2 linked regions of the Yarrowia lipolytica genome follow. The protein of the gene in region 1 purifies or fractionates together with the protein of each later gene. This does not show direct contact. Links are inferred from orthologs where the notes say so. Each region holds a gene or a part of one and is shown on either strand. Other genes may lie near its edges.

What was found.
Region 2: the proteins of YALI1_D25851g (region 1) and YALI1_C32975g purify together in Saccharomyces cerevisiae (affinity purification with mass spectrometry; 4 studies listed by BioGRID, with this or other methods). This does not show direct contact. The link is inferred for Yarrowia lipolytica from reciprocal best matches to the Saccharomyces cerevisiae genes SLY1 and SEC17.

The regions. Positions count from the first base shown.
Region 1 is NC_090773.1:2,580,672-2,588,438, reverse strand, and holds YALI1_D25851g (uncharacterized protein), read left to right. Parts: upstream 1-3,219; coding exon 3,220-3,265; intron 3,266-3,311; coding exon 3,312-5,038; downstream 5,039-7,767. Other genes in the region: YALI1_D25877g (uncharacterized protein), read right to left, coding at 208-708; YALI1_D25856g (uncharacterized protein), read right to left, coding at 2,399-2,872; YALI1_D25831g (uncharacterized protein), read left to right, coding at 5,231-5,266, 5,333-5,503; YALI1_D25813g (uncharacterized protein), read right to left, coding at 5,571-7,175. UniProt on the Saccharomyces cerevisiae protein: Able to suppress the functional loss of YPT1. SLY1 is essential for cell viability. May interact indirectly, or directly with YPT1.
Region 2 is NC_090772.1:3,294,751-3,300,841, forward strand, and holds YALI1_C32975g (uncharacterized protein), read left to right. Parts: upstream 1-2,772; coding exon 2,773-3,651; downstream 3,652-6,091. Other genes in the region: YALI1_C32921g (uncharacterized protein), read left to right, coding at 1-1,329; YALI1_C32972g (uncharacterized protein), read right to left, coding at 1,663-2,526; YALI1_C33005g (uncharacterized protein), read left to right, coding at 5,798-6,091. UniProt on the Saccharomyces cerevisiae protein: SNARE complex protein that binds to cis-SNARE complexes on membranes and is required for vesicular transport between the endoplasmic reticulum and the Golgi apparatus and for homotypic vacuole fusion.

The DNA.
Region 1 (7,767 bases):
ATTCGAGCTTAGCACAGCAAGCTTTGCCTCCACTGGTCAGGTGGAAGAGGGCCTGATAACAGGAGGAAAACAAAAGCTGTTGGGCCAAAGTAAAAGCTCCAAAAGCCATGTCCATCGAATCGACGGGCCCTCGCCACGGCTATAATGACGTACCAAGCCAGCCGGGGACCCTGTCGTCCCGTTGTTGTCCCGTTATTGACCCGCCACTTATTCCCTCATTATCGCCATACTATACAATATAGGATCGTTGGTCGCCCCAGTGCGCCATTTATTAACCCACAGAAAGACACGTCGAAACGGGAAAACCCTCATTTTGGCCGACTGCTCTGCTCCCCAAACCTCTCTTGCCTCTTTCTCCCCCAATCTTTCCTTTTTTCGCCTCAACACACCTTGTGCTGTCTCTGAACCACATCCTCCAAAACACCCTACTGATGTCTGTCTTGGGATTGTCGCCTCGGAGATAAAACCGTAAAAAGTAAAAAATATAAAAATATATATAAAAACACACCTCAACGATACGCGCGGAATGAAATCCAAAGCCAAACAAGACCCATTAACGAGCCTATTATCGAACCCAGTGTTAATAATAGCACCATATAAGACTCCCGGAGCCATTGCTACAGGTACTCGGCCTGCCACGGCCCACCCCCTCCAATCAGCCCTGGCACCACCTGCCAAACGTCTGACAGCGTATTTCTGAAATATCATTTTTTTAGCTGCATGCCCCTGAAACGGAGCCCGATCAAGATCGAACCGACGCGCACTACGGTAGCTACAAGTAGCTAAAGCGACACGCCGCGGGCGGGCGCTGGAAGAGATGCATCACGTGATCAAAACACGCACCCCCAACCTAAACCGGATACACCCATGCAATCTGCAAAATGCGTTGCTCATGTGGAATATGCCTACATGCATATAGCCCGCGTTTTAGAGTTGGGTATGCACCTAGGTACCTGTGAGACATGCATAAAGTTGCATATTGACAGATGTCCACAGCGCTTTGTGCAATAGGGGTTGGAGTATGGTACTTGTAGGAGTAGTCAGTCCGTAGTTGTAGTCATCTCCAGTGGTGTGTTACAACGGGACCGTATTCTTCTCCCGTTTCCGTGCATGTCCCTGCAGCTTCCTCATTGCCAGCAACCAGACGCTGTTGAGTAGCTACATTCTCTGACACTCTAATTTCTCCACCCCTGGACTCATATCATGATCTGCGTTTGATATCTCATTCCCAAACACCGTTGGCTGAGGCGGCGCCCTGGTTTCGGCCACCTCGATCCAAGACCAGTCTCAAACACGCACAATACACGTCATCCTACACCCCTTGTCGTCCACATTCGCCCTGAGCAATGCTAGTGGTACAAGACTTGGCCCCTCCAAGCCATGTCTGGGACCTGTCTGAGCGGGTAAAAATAGCAAAATGTCTCCCGTTTACGTTTCTGGGATGATCCAAAGTCTACGCTAAGAGTAAATAAAGCAATTAAGCGGGCAGTAGGGCGGCGGCGGTGGCTTCGGACCTAGCCCTACTCCCTGGTGCTACTTGCACGTTTGAGCATACCCCATGCACCCCATATCCGCGTTTATCGCTACTTGTACGCTAGTGGCCATGACGTAAACATGTGGAGCGGCCTGCTTCTGGGCCCATTGTCCACGTACGCTTAGATTTCGTTTAGACATAGTCCTTTTTTCCGGCTAAACTAGCGCCTTTCTGCAAGCCTTGGTAGGCAATGGGTCACGCGCCGGGAGAACCATAGCACCAGAGAAACGAGTGTTCGCATTCGCACTCCACCGCCACCCTTGATTACCTTTACGCCGTTTTAATAGCAAGGGTTTAAAGATCCGGGGGAGCTTGGCGGGGAGTTGAGGAAAGGGTGGAAGGAGAGACGTTCATTTACCGCTAGTGATCCATGACGGCTTTTGATGCGGCTCATGGTGACAGTTGTGTTGGAGAGATAGAACGGGTCCGTGGAATACGGGTACCTGTACATGCATCCATATCGTGGATCGCGCTGCTTTTCGAACGTATCGTGGATATCACGTCGCTACTTGCAGTGCCAGCTCACGACCCCGAGTCCATCTTCAAGCATATAGGCTCCTTCGGTGGTTCAGATGGCCCTTCTTCAGATGATCCCCTCAGAGGCTGATGTGGCTGCAGTGTTGTTGCGGACACTGTTGCGGACACTGTTGCCCCGGCTTGATCCCTTTAGAGCTGGTAGACCCCTGTCAAGGGTCAGTCTTAGTGGGACTGGAAGGAGTATCAGTCTCACTGGTTAACTGTACTGGCTAGACCCCGGAAAGGGATGGCTGTGTGCTTGTGGTTCATTGGGTGCGGTGTGGTGTCTACAACTCGTGTTGCCAGACCTGGACAAGGGCATTTGTGAATGTGACGGTACTCGTAGGTTCACCAGAGATGGTGTCGAACGACACATGATGAGAGTGGAAGCTCCTTGGATGCCATCGACATCACGTGAACCTGTCTGATCGTCCATCGCTGGTTTGTAGGACGCGTTTGAAGGTTCCGACTTGACGTTGTTGGTATGATGCACGAGTACAGGCGATTGTAAGGTGGTCGAGCGTGTTTTAATGTACAGGTGGAAGTAATTGTACTTGTATCAGGGCCTCTTGCAGCTCGTCTTGTGTTGTTCGCATCAAATGACACTCGTCTTGTACAGTACAGTCTCCATGACTTGCTCCAGATTATGTATCCAAAACAGGGGTTGTATACTTGCAGAGTACAAGCACAGGCATACGTATGTACAAGCCTCTTTATATCTTTAAGAGTACAAGTAAACGTACTCGCACTTGTACTTGCACCGGCGAGATGTATGGTCGCAGAAAACCTGTCGGCAGCCCTCCGTCCTCCACATACGAACATGACTGACTTGCATCTTTCACCTGTTCAGCAAGTTTCATACTGCACTAGTCCAAATAGGTAAATCACCTTGGCCTCCTATTTGGGACAGGGTAAGGGCGTCCAGAAGAGGACACCAGTGAAATTACATAATACAAGCTGCAGTACTTGTCCGATACGACCTGTCTCGAAACAGCCGTTTGGAGCAGCGCATTTCTTGCCCGATCAATTCCCTGACCACTCTCACTCTTCCCCAACACGGTGCTTTTTCCCCATTCTGGTCACATGACTGACACGCTCCACCTAACCTTATCTCCAAAGACCACGACATACGCATCTCTCCTTCAGAGGAGTTTCGGAAGTCTAGCCCAATGAACAACAGCACTTTGCCCGAGTCGTTTCGAGACAAGCAGATTGGTGAGTATCACGTGACTAACCGACAATGATTCGCTGACTAACACAGCCGCGATCACGCGTGTTCTCTCTGGAGAAAATGGGAGTGCCAACAAAAGCCAGGCTTGGAAGGTGCTGGTCTTCGACAAGTTTGGCCGAGATGTGATTTCGTCGGTGATGCGAGTCAACGACCTGTTCCAGAACGGAGTCACCATCCACATGTTGCTGGATTCCGATCGGTACGCTATTGACGTTCCGGTGGTGTACTTTGTGCGACCTACATCCGACAACCTTCAAAAGATCACGCGAGACCTGCATTCCCAGCTCTACGAATCCGCGTCCGTCAACTTCGTGTCTCCTCTTCCCCGTCAGCTGCTGGAGACCTTTGCAGCCGACAACGTGGCCACAGCCTCTCAGATTACTCAGGTCTACGACCACTACCTCAACTACGTTGTTTCCGAGGCCAACCTCTTCTCTCTGGCCTTGCCTAACATCTACTCTGAGCTGGCATCCCCCAAGATGGACGAGGACTCGCTCAATGCCATCGTCGACCAGATTGTGTCTGGTCTGTTCTCTGTGGTTGTCACCCAGGGTGAAATTCCCATCATTCGATGTCCCAGAGGAAACGCCGCCGAGATGGTCGCCCAGAAACTCGACTCCAAGCTCAGAGACCACGTCAACAACCTCAAACTGACCACCAACCCTCTCTCGCGACCGGTGCTCATGATTCTTGACCGAAACATTGATCTCGCGTCCATGCTCCAGCACTCGTCCAACTACATGGGACTGGTTCACGACGTGTTTGAGTCCGAAAGAGGCCAGATCCGAATCGCCAAAGACAATGGCACCACCGAGTCGTACGATGTGGCGCCCTCCGACTTTTTCTGGAACCAAAACTCGCTTCTTTCTTTCCCCGAGGTGGCGGAGTCTATGGACAATGAAGTCAATAAGTACAAGGAGGAGTACAGCCAGATCACTGGAGGCGCCAACATCAACGATATGGACACAGATGCATCCCCCACGCATCTCAAGAAGGCTATCTCGGCCATCCCCAAACTCACGGCTCGAAAAGCCGTCATCGATATGCATATGAACATTGCCACTGCTCTGGTGGACCGAATCAAGAAGAGACAGCTGGATATTTTGTTTGAGGCCGAGGACGGGCTGGACAAGCAGGCTCTCTTGCCTCTGCTCAAGAACGAAGAGCTGTCTGGCACGGACAAGCTGAGAGCCTATATTTGTGTCTACCTATCCGGCACTCTCTCGGCTGCCGAACAGAAGGAGTACGAGGGTATTCTTAGCACACAGGGAGTGGACATGGCTGCGCTCAACTACGTCAAGCGGCTCAAGGACCTGTCCAAAATGATGGCGCTGAAGTCGTCAGCTGCTTCTGCACAGGAGCCCCAGACGTCGGAGCAATCGTTCCGAAACTTTGCCTCCAAGCTGTCGTCCGGCAAGATTGGCAACCTCATTTCCAACGTCAAGTCGTATCTGCCACAAAACAAGGATATGCCCGTGACCCGAATTGTGTCCGGCATTGTGTCTCCTTCCGAGTCTGGCGACATTACCGACGACTATTTATATTTCGACCCGTCGGTGCGTGGCTCCAGCACAAAGCCGCCCCGAAAACAGGCGTACAACGAGGCCATTGTGTTTGTGGTTGGAGGTGCCAACTACGCTGAGTACGCCAATCTGATGGACTACGGTGTTAAGGCAGGAAAAAAGGTGGTTTACGGAGGAACAGATGTGGTCAAACCCGATGTGTTTTTGGGAGAGCTGGCCTCACTCACCAAGTAGGAGCGCAAGTAGGAGCCAGAGAGATTGGCTAGGGGTTGTACTTTATGCCACTCCTTTGCACGTAATAATGTAATAGAAAGGATATACTATTGGATCTTGCAAGGGTGGATACTTGACCGTATCCCCCTTTACTCAAGAGGCGGATCTGGTTCACCGACCGAGCAAGGACTGTTGTATGTAAGTAGAGCTCCCATGATCACGCACTACTTGTACATTTTTGTACACATAGTTACCTACAGTTCGGCTACATCATAAAAAATACATTATAATGTCTTGCCATAGCCATAACAACAGCAACGGTGGGGGCAATATCAACCATTGTTCTCCGTAACAGCAATATCAACCATTGTTCTCCGTAACATCATTAATTCGGTCCAAACCACCGTTCTCGATGTCGTGCTTAGATGTAGTCTTTTAGCGCCACCCCTAGATGGTAGTCACGGATGTGGAGCAGCGATGGCTTAAGCAAAGATCAACTTGTGCTTGTGGTCTGGGGTTGGGCAAATGGCAAGCTCTGCCCCTAGCTCCAGTGCTAGGCCAAACAGATATCCAAATCCTTCTCTTTCAACACCACATAGTAATCCACATACTTTTCTCCCCCTGCATCTCTCTTCCAGCACTCTTCCACCGTTGAAATGCTATTCAGCAAGTTTCTCGCCTTGTTTCGTGTGGCAAACTCCTTGAACTTGGACAGGTACGCGTGTCTCTGAGAGGGCAGGATGTTAAGACCAGCGATGAACAGGGGGAAGCAAAGATTGCCCTCAACAGCCGAGCCCAACACAAGGTCCAAAAGACACGACAACTTGCGGCCCCAAACACGCATCTCCAGAGAAGTAGAAGGCAGTTTGAAGATGGTTCGTTTGAGATGAATCAAGGCGGTCAGCTGGTAAATTTCAAACAGGTGCTTATGCAAAGTACATTCCTCGTCACTGAGCGTCATAGTATCAGCCAGATTGGGTGTGAGAATACGAATCTGGTGCTCGAGACGCTGGGCAGTCTGCAGAATGTTAGCTTCGGTAGTGAGAGTCGAAGAAGTCATTTCTTCATTGCCACTCAATTCGTTGGCCAATTGAGACACCTCGGCAATCATCTGGTACGGCTCTCTGCAGATTCCCAGTAGTGGGTCGATACCCTGACCTCCCTGAAGCAGCTGTTCGTATTCTGCTCGACCAAAAAGAGGTCCTCGATGGTGAGAGCTACTAGCGACCAGGTCATGATAGGCAAAGTTTGTGGCTATCCAGCGGAGATTTTTGTCATTGAGAAACTTGGACAGACCGCCATAGTTGCGGATTATGGCCGCCGACATGTTGAGAAACTTTTTCCAGTTGCGTAGGTCGCCCTTACACACTTCAGCCGAGCAGCAGAGCAGCAAGGCCGCGATTGTGGAGTGGTCAAAAGTATTGTTTGTGATCTGGTTCTTGGTCAGGGTCACAGCCTTGTCGAGCGCGGCCATCCCTGTATCCTGAAGATCAGCCTTGCCTGAATGGAAAGAAGACCACGCTACAATGCTGTGTAGAACAGCAGCATTATGATGGGCCATGGGAAGAAAAATTTGAACAAAGTGGTTGTCTTGATCGGACGCCACACATATCATTCGCGACAGCTTTTCCTCGTAATACTGCAGCATCTGGTTCTCTTTGGTGCTGAGTCCTCCAAACAGAGAGGGCTCCAGAGACTCCAAGTTGAAGTCTGCGTCTATTTCAAACGGAGAGGGAATTCGAACCAACGAATTAACGTCCAGCTGGTTGATATCATCCTCTGTGAGATCGGTGATATCCACAATTGGGTGATCGACTGCGGGATCCACGTAGTTGGTGAAGTTGTAGGGATGGAAATCAAGCATGGGGACAGGGGCCACATCTGTAGAACCCGCTACAGGCGGTGGCGCATGGTCCACGGGAACAACCACAAACTGCTCGTGCGTGTCTGGCAGACCCTTTCGTTTCTTGTTCTTGTACTCTGTTCCAGGAGCTGGGTACACGCACACGATTCCGAGCCGTTTGCAGCACTCACAAACAGGCCGTGTTTCGTCGCAGCGCTTCTTGCGTTTGCGGCACGTATAGCAGCCGTCTCGGGACCGTTTTCGAGGCGGCTGGGCCGGAGGCGCCGCCGGCACCGGGTCCTTGGGGGCACTCATGGCGAAGGCGGTAAAACGGCGGTAAAACGGCGGTAAAATGGGGATGGAGAAATCGCGCTCGTTCAGCTGCAGACCACCCAGAATCTGACAATGCAAGCACGCTGGCGGTCGCGCGACGGAAGAAAAAGGGCCACTTCGACGCGGGTGAACCTCCAGAAGCTGCTATCTGCGGAGTTGCAATTCCACTGTTTTTTGGCATCTTCGGACGTAGGGTTTAATTTCCCTGTTGGGAGAGTGTGGGGGGAGACACCAGTTGTTGCCCCCCGCAAGAAGGCGATTTGGTAGAGAGAAGGTCCTCCTAGGAGTCTTAGGTAACACTTGTATAGATTCACGTGATTTACCGAGGTCCTGTCGTGATGATATCCACTTATTACCGGGAAGGCGCTGCTCAAAGAGCTCTGAAAAAGTTCGGCAGATTTGCCCGAAAGGTAAACAACAAAGGCGAAAAAGTGAGATAACAATTGCAGCAACAGTGAGGCTGAAGTGCATGGTTTAGGTGGGTAGATATGTGGGTTGGAGTGTATGATTTGGAGTGGGGGTCAGCGTGGAAGATCGCCGCGGTGCTCGTATTATATTGCCTTGGTGATTTTCC
Region 2 (6,091 bases), on another chromosome or scaffold:
ACTGCCCCCATTCCCTTTGAAGGTTCTCGAGAGCACGATGAGGTGGTTAAGACAGCTAACTCTGGTCTGACCGGTGATACTATCGAAGCTCATGCTTCGCACCCCAGCATCGCCTCCAAGGAGACTGTTTCTGAGCCTCAGAAGCCGGACGTTGATGGATTGACCGCTCAGTTCAAGAGCACTGAGCCTTTCCCTGAACAGCCCTTTGTCCAGCCTTTTGGTTCCAACCCCGCTTCTCAGCCTGCTCCTTTCAACCCCCCTGCCCAGTTCACTAGCGAGCAGCCTCACCCCGAGACCAACGCTGCGCTCGAGCAGTTCACCGACAAGGCCGTTTCGGACCAGCCCGAGTTTGAGAAGGCCGCCGAGCCCTTCCCCGACCAGCCGTTTGCCCAGCCTTTTGGCCCTAACCCTACGCAGCTGGAGGAGGACTCTGGCAACGAGTCATTCGAGTTTGTGTCTGCTGACGAGAACGAGCACTCTATCAACGAGATGCCCCGTCGAGACAAGGGCAAGGCTGTGGTTGACGACGACTCTTCTGACGATGACGAGCTGGAGGAGATTGGGGTCAACCGGTACAAAAACTACCAGCCCAAGGAGGTGCACCATGACGATACTACGTCGGACGTGGTTACTCCCCAGCACGAGATTACTCAGCCTACTTTTGCCCCTGCTGTTGACACTGCTCCTGGTCACTTCCCCGACCAGACTGCTGTTCACGATACTGCCCCTGGTCATTTCCCTGAGCCAGCTGCCGCCCCAGCCTCTTCTCAGGGCTTTGCTGCTCCCACACAAGCATACCCCTCTGCTGCCGAGGAGAAGGCTGCTGCTGCTGCTGCGTCCAACAATGACAAGGAGCTGCCCCCCAACCCACCCACATATGACGAGAGCGAAGGCCCCGGCTCTCCTCATCATGGTGGCTCCACTAACGGCTTCTTCGGTAACCAGCATGCGCCTGCTGCATCTGCTAACGACGACTTTGACGACGCGTTTGCCGATCTTGAGGACACCAACGTGGAGGCCAACAACTCGATGGACCAGTCGCAGTACAGCACCGACTTTAACAATGCGTTTGACGACATGAACCAGGCTCCTGCGCCCGCTAATCCTCCTGGAAACGACGAGTGGGAGCAGATCTTCGCCGGTATGTCTTCCGGCCCTGCTCCAGTCAGTGCTCCCTCTGCTGCTCCCGTTAGAGCATCTTCTCCTCGATCTCGAGCTGTTCAGGAGCTGACCGGAATGGGTTTCTCTGAGGAGAAGGCCAAGCGGGCGCTGCAGAAGCACAAATACAACGTTGCCGAGGCCACTAATTACCTTTTGGACCAGAGCTGATCTCTTTTTATGATGATATGTAAGTAATTCATTAATGTTTAAATGTATTATGTGATTATAAAAAATGCAGTACTTTCACCGTAGCGAGTAGTGATGATGGTGGAATTTACTGTAGACTACAACTACGGTATGTACTCATACAATACTTTAAGTAGCTACCTGTAGCTTCTGGTTGCACGGCATGGACCACATTCTGTGAGACTGTGACCTTTATGGTCAGATAGTCCAATAATGCCGTATCTGCCGCTTCTATGTTACGTTTTGAAGCTGTACGTCATCTGTTGTTGCTAAACGTGGAACAAATAAATAATCTATTAGTACAGTTCACCCCTCCTATAATGCCTTCCAACTTTCGTACAGTTCTGCCCGCTCAGGCATCTCCTGAGTAGCAGCTGTGGCCTTTGAAATATCCGATGTCACCTTGTGCAACTTGTCGAGCGATGTATGGACTTGGTCGTTGTTTTCCTTGATCTTTTGTCGGTATTCATCATTCTCCTTCTTGACTGTCTGTGCCAGCTGTTTGAGCTTTTTGATTCGTGCGAGTTTAGTTTCCCGTAGATGGCTCTTGATGATTTGATCTGGCGTCAGTCTATCGACATGGATAGGCAGATCTGTGTTTGAATTCATTCTGAGTCTGGCGTCTTTGACCAATTGATCCAACTGGGCCAGTTTCTCCGGGAGATGTCGTTCATCGAAGATCGCGTCGAATTCCGTTTGTACTGAGTCCGTCCACGCCTTGCAGATCTGCTTAAGGGCTTCTCTGAGTGCCTCCTGACCAGCAGGAGTCTTTGCAATGCTTGGATAACACGCCGCCACTCGTTTGTAAGTGAGCGACTTGACTGCATGGGCCAGTGCTGTGGACGAGGATGTGACTAAACGTCTGTAACGTGCTGATTGGGGGATTGCACGTGTATTGGCTGTTGTGGTTGTTTGTCCCTCGGTCGCTTTTGTTGTTTGTGTTTCGTTCACTGTTGTTATTCGTCCTTCGCTCGTCGCTTGTGATTCACTGGCTTGTGTCTGCCTCTGTCCCTCCCCTGTGTGTGTCTTCATGGATGTCGCTTCCACTTCAGCTACACTTATCTCCATGGTTTCTGGGTCAGGTGTTGATGTAGACAGTGTCTCGGATTTCTGCGTCTCAGTCTCCTGAACAGATTGTGTCTTTTTCGTGTGTTGTGTCCCGTCTTTTTCCATGTCCATATCCTTCTCCGTGTCTTGTTGTTTTGACGTGTTTTATATCTGCCGCGTTTTATTTACCAGCCTTGCACAATCTGACGCGTTGCATTGAGCGACTTAATGTGCAACCCCACGACTCGAACCCCCAACGCCAAATGCTGTACAGTAGCTTCTTTCATCTCCAACCCAAACCCTGCCCCCGTGCAGTTAGCGTCTGTATGACGTACATACAAACCTCCACACCTAGATCGATCACCCCCATACCACGCAATGTCAGACGTCACCGCTCTCATTGCTAGAGCCGATAAAAAGATGACCTCCTCCGGAGGCATGTTCTCATTCATGAGCGGCGGCTCCTCGACCCGATTCGAAGAAGCAGCAGACCTCTACACCGAGGCCGCAAACCAGTACAAGTTACAGCGTAACGGAAAGCTTGCTGGAGAGTGCTTTGAGAAGGCTGCTGACGCACAACTACAGTCCGAGAGCAAGGACGAGGCCGCCAACTCGCTGCTCGAGGCTTACAAATCATACCGGTCCAACTCACCCCAGGAGGCCGCCAAGTGTCTGGAGAAGGCCATTCAGTTCTTCACTACACGTGGTCAGTTCCGACGAGGTGCCAATTACAAGATGGAGCTGGGAGAGCTGTACGAGAAGGAGCTGGAGGACATTCCCAAGGCCATGGAGGCCTACACAGATGCCGGAGACTGGTTTTCCGAGGACCGAGCAGAGACTCTATCTTCCAAGGCATACCTCAAGGTGGCGGAACTGTCTGCCGAGAACGACGATCTGTTCAAGGCCATTGAAATGTTCGAGATGGTTGCCCGACGAAACCTCAATTCCAACATCATGAAGTGGTCGCTCAAGGAGTATTTGTTCAAGGCTGGCCTGTGTCGAATTGCTGCGGATCCTGTTGCTTGTGGGGGCCCCATCAACGCTTACCTGGAGTGGGATCCTGCCTTTGGCCAGTCCCGAGAGTATGGTCTGCTGGTGGATATTTGTGAGGCTGTCAGCAACCAGAACCCCCAGCTGTTTGCTGATAAGGTGTACGACTTTGACCAATTCAGCAAGCTCGACAAATGGAAGACCAACCTGCTGCTCAAGATCAAGAACGCCATTACCGAGCAGGAGGACGATGAGGGACTGTTGTAGAGGTCCAAATTTAAAGTAATATTATTGTTTATACTGATGGTCGTGTGACAGAGTGAGAGAATACAGGTACTACGCAAGGACACGCAGAAGCGGATTGAACCACACGTTTCAGTCGCTTATTCCAGATCATCGCCATTATATGTCTTGTCAGCTGGTAATATGCCATGCGTGGCTAGGGCTTTCTTTGACCCTTTCATCTCTAAGAGTCCATTGGCGCATCTCAGAGTCCATTGACGCGTCTCAAACATTTTATATTACCAATTGAAACGCTCAAGGTACTCTCATGGTAACTAGGACATGATTATGATCAATCTGATATATTGAAAGTACCCATAACCTTCCTTACAAGTACTTGTAATATATATCCAACTTGTACAGTAGTCTTGTGATTCTGGCTTGAACCAACTTCATATCCCATGAACCGAACCCTACACTCATTAAGATTCTGGCTGCCTCGGCATGAGGGGTCATTGGCGACTCTCAATGTGCTCAAGTGGGTCTTTGGTCGTGTGGCTGGAGGGAAAAAAGGGTTCCGACCCACATCTAGGCGTACATTTACACTTGTACAAGTACAAGTACTGTACTGTACTTGTAGTTAACTGGTCAAAAGTGCGACTTCGTGAAGCTCCGTATTACGATTCCTAAATTGGATATGTATGTTGGAGGCTTGTACATTCTTGTACAGTAGACAGAAGGGGATGACATGAAATAAGGGACAAGAATGTCTAAACCATCATAACCGGACGACCACAAGTAAACCCTACCAAAGACCATCAATAACAGCAGCATATCTTGCAACAGCTCTTGGAAGGTGTGACTTGAGAGTGTCACACCAATTTAACTAAATCTAACTAAATCCCTAACCTACTAATAACTAACGTTAATAAGCACCAGACCTCATTCAAACTCTGTTTCGTATCGGATGAGTCCAACGTTCAGGGACCAAAACAAGCAAATGGGCAGGTGGTGGAAAAGAACGAGATTGGACCCAAATCAGGTCTCCCCAAAAAACAAAAACAAAAAAAACGCCAGCAAAGAAGAGCAATCTAATGTGCATTGACCAACATGAAACACTCCCTGCGCAAATAGTCATCTCACATAAGCCGCACCTGTGACTATTTGGACACTTTCACCTGGTGGCTCATTTTAGCTCTGCAAAATTTCCATATGCATGGTGCAAGCTACTTCTACTCATGCCTAACGTGTAGCTGGGGATTGTACTTGCCAGATGCTCCAGATGGGTCTAAAACTGCCCGCTCCTTCTTCTTACGACAAGTAGATTGCTAGCTCCTGGGAACAACCCGCCGCTCCGACAGCCTACATACACATACGTGGCGGGGGTGCATCGAACCGGGGTAGTACGCAGTTGAGCTGTATCGGGAGAGTCCAGCATATAGGAGAGTAACAACTGCTTCTTCTGGGGGGGAGTGCAAGTGAGGATCTGTCAATAACACATTCCATGACCCTGTTGAAGCATTCCCACTCTCTCTTATGCCCCACTTCTCGTATCTGATCGCCTCTTAAAGTTCAATGTGTTGCCGAGAATCCTTGATTACTGGAAGAGAAGCACTTCAACAGAGCTTAGATCACGTAGGAATCATTGTCTCCACGCATCATGAAAATGACGCGAGTACAGTACTGTACTCGTGTATAAAATTTCCGGATTCCGGCCCTTCTTTCCCACTATCGTACTTGGACCACCGCAAACATATTTTAGTCACAGTGCATGGGCCTCGCTCACCAGCCGACAAGACTGACGCTCCTCCAAAAACATACTCTGAGTCATAGGTCTATCCTTATCTCTGATAGCAGCGAATGGGTGTGGGAGAGTCAAATACCGTTCTAGCTGGAGTCTATAATCAACGAGGCTGACGGGTCCGACTGGTGGATTTCGAGGTGTAGAATCGACTGGCCGGGTAAAAATAATCTCTTCCCCCTTGTAGATGGGTGTATGCACATTTTTTCCCATTGGAAACTGCTGCTCGCTTTTTCCTTCCCCAGGCCCAAGTGTCCCGATTATTCCGTCTGCACGAATTTTAAGCTCGGGGTACAAGTAAAAGATTTTGATTTGGAGAGTTGAAAAAAAAATAAAGGTACTTTAACTTGCACCTCGCACCTTCACACATCACCAACTACCATCCCGACAATGATAGCGCGATCGCTGTTGCGACTGGCCAAGCCGCAATTGCGAGCTGGCATTGCCGTGCGAACCAAATTGACACAGTTCCCCGTGCGAAAATACACAACCACCCCCGAGTATGCCGGAGCTGGAATCCTGTCCCAGGTGGCTGACAAGGAGCTTGTCGATGTCTCCAAGGTTCTGGTCATTGGTTCTGGAGGTCTGTCTATTGGTCAGGCCGGAGAGTTCGATTACTCCGGATCTCAGGCCATCAAGGCTCTTCGAGAGGAGGGCAAGCAGTCCATTCTCATTAACCCCAAC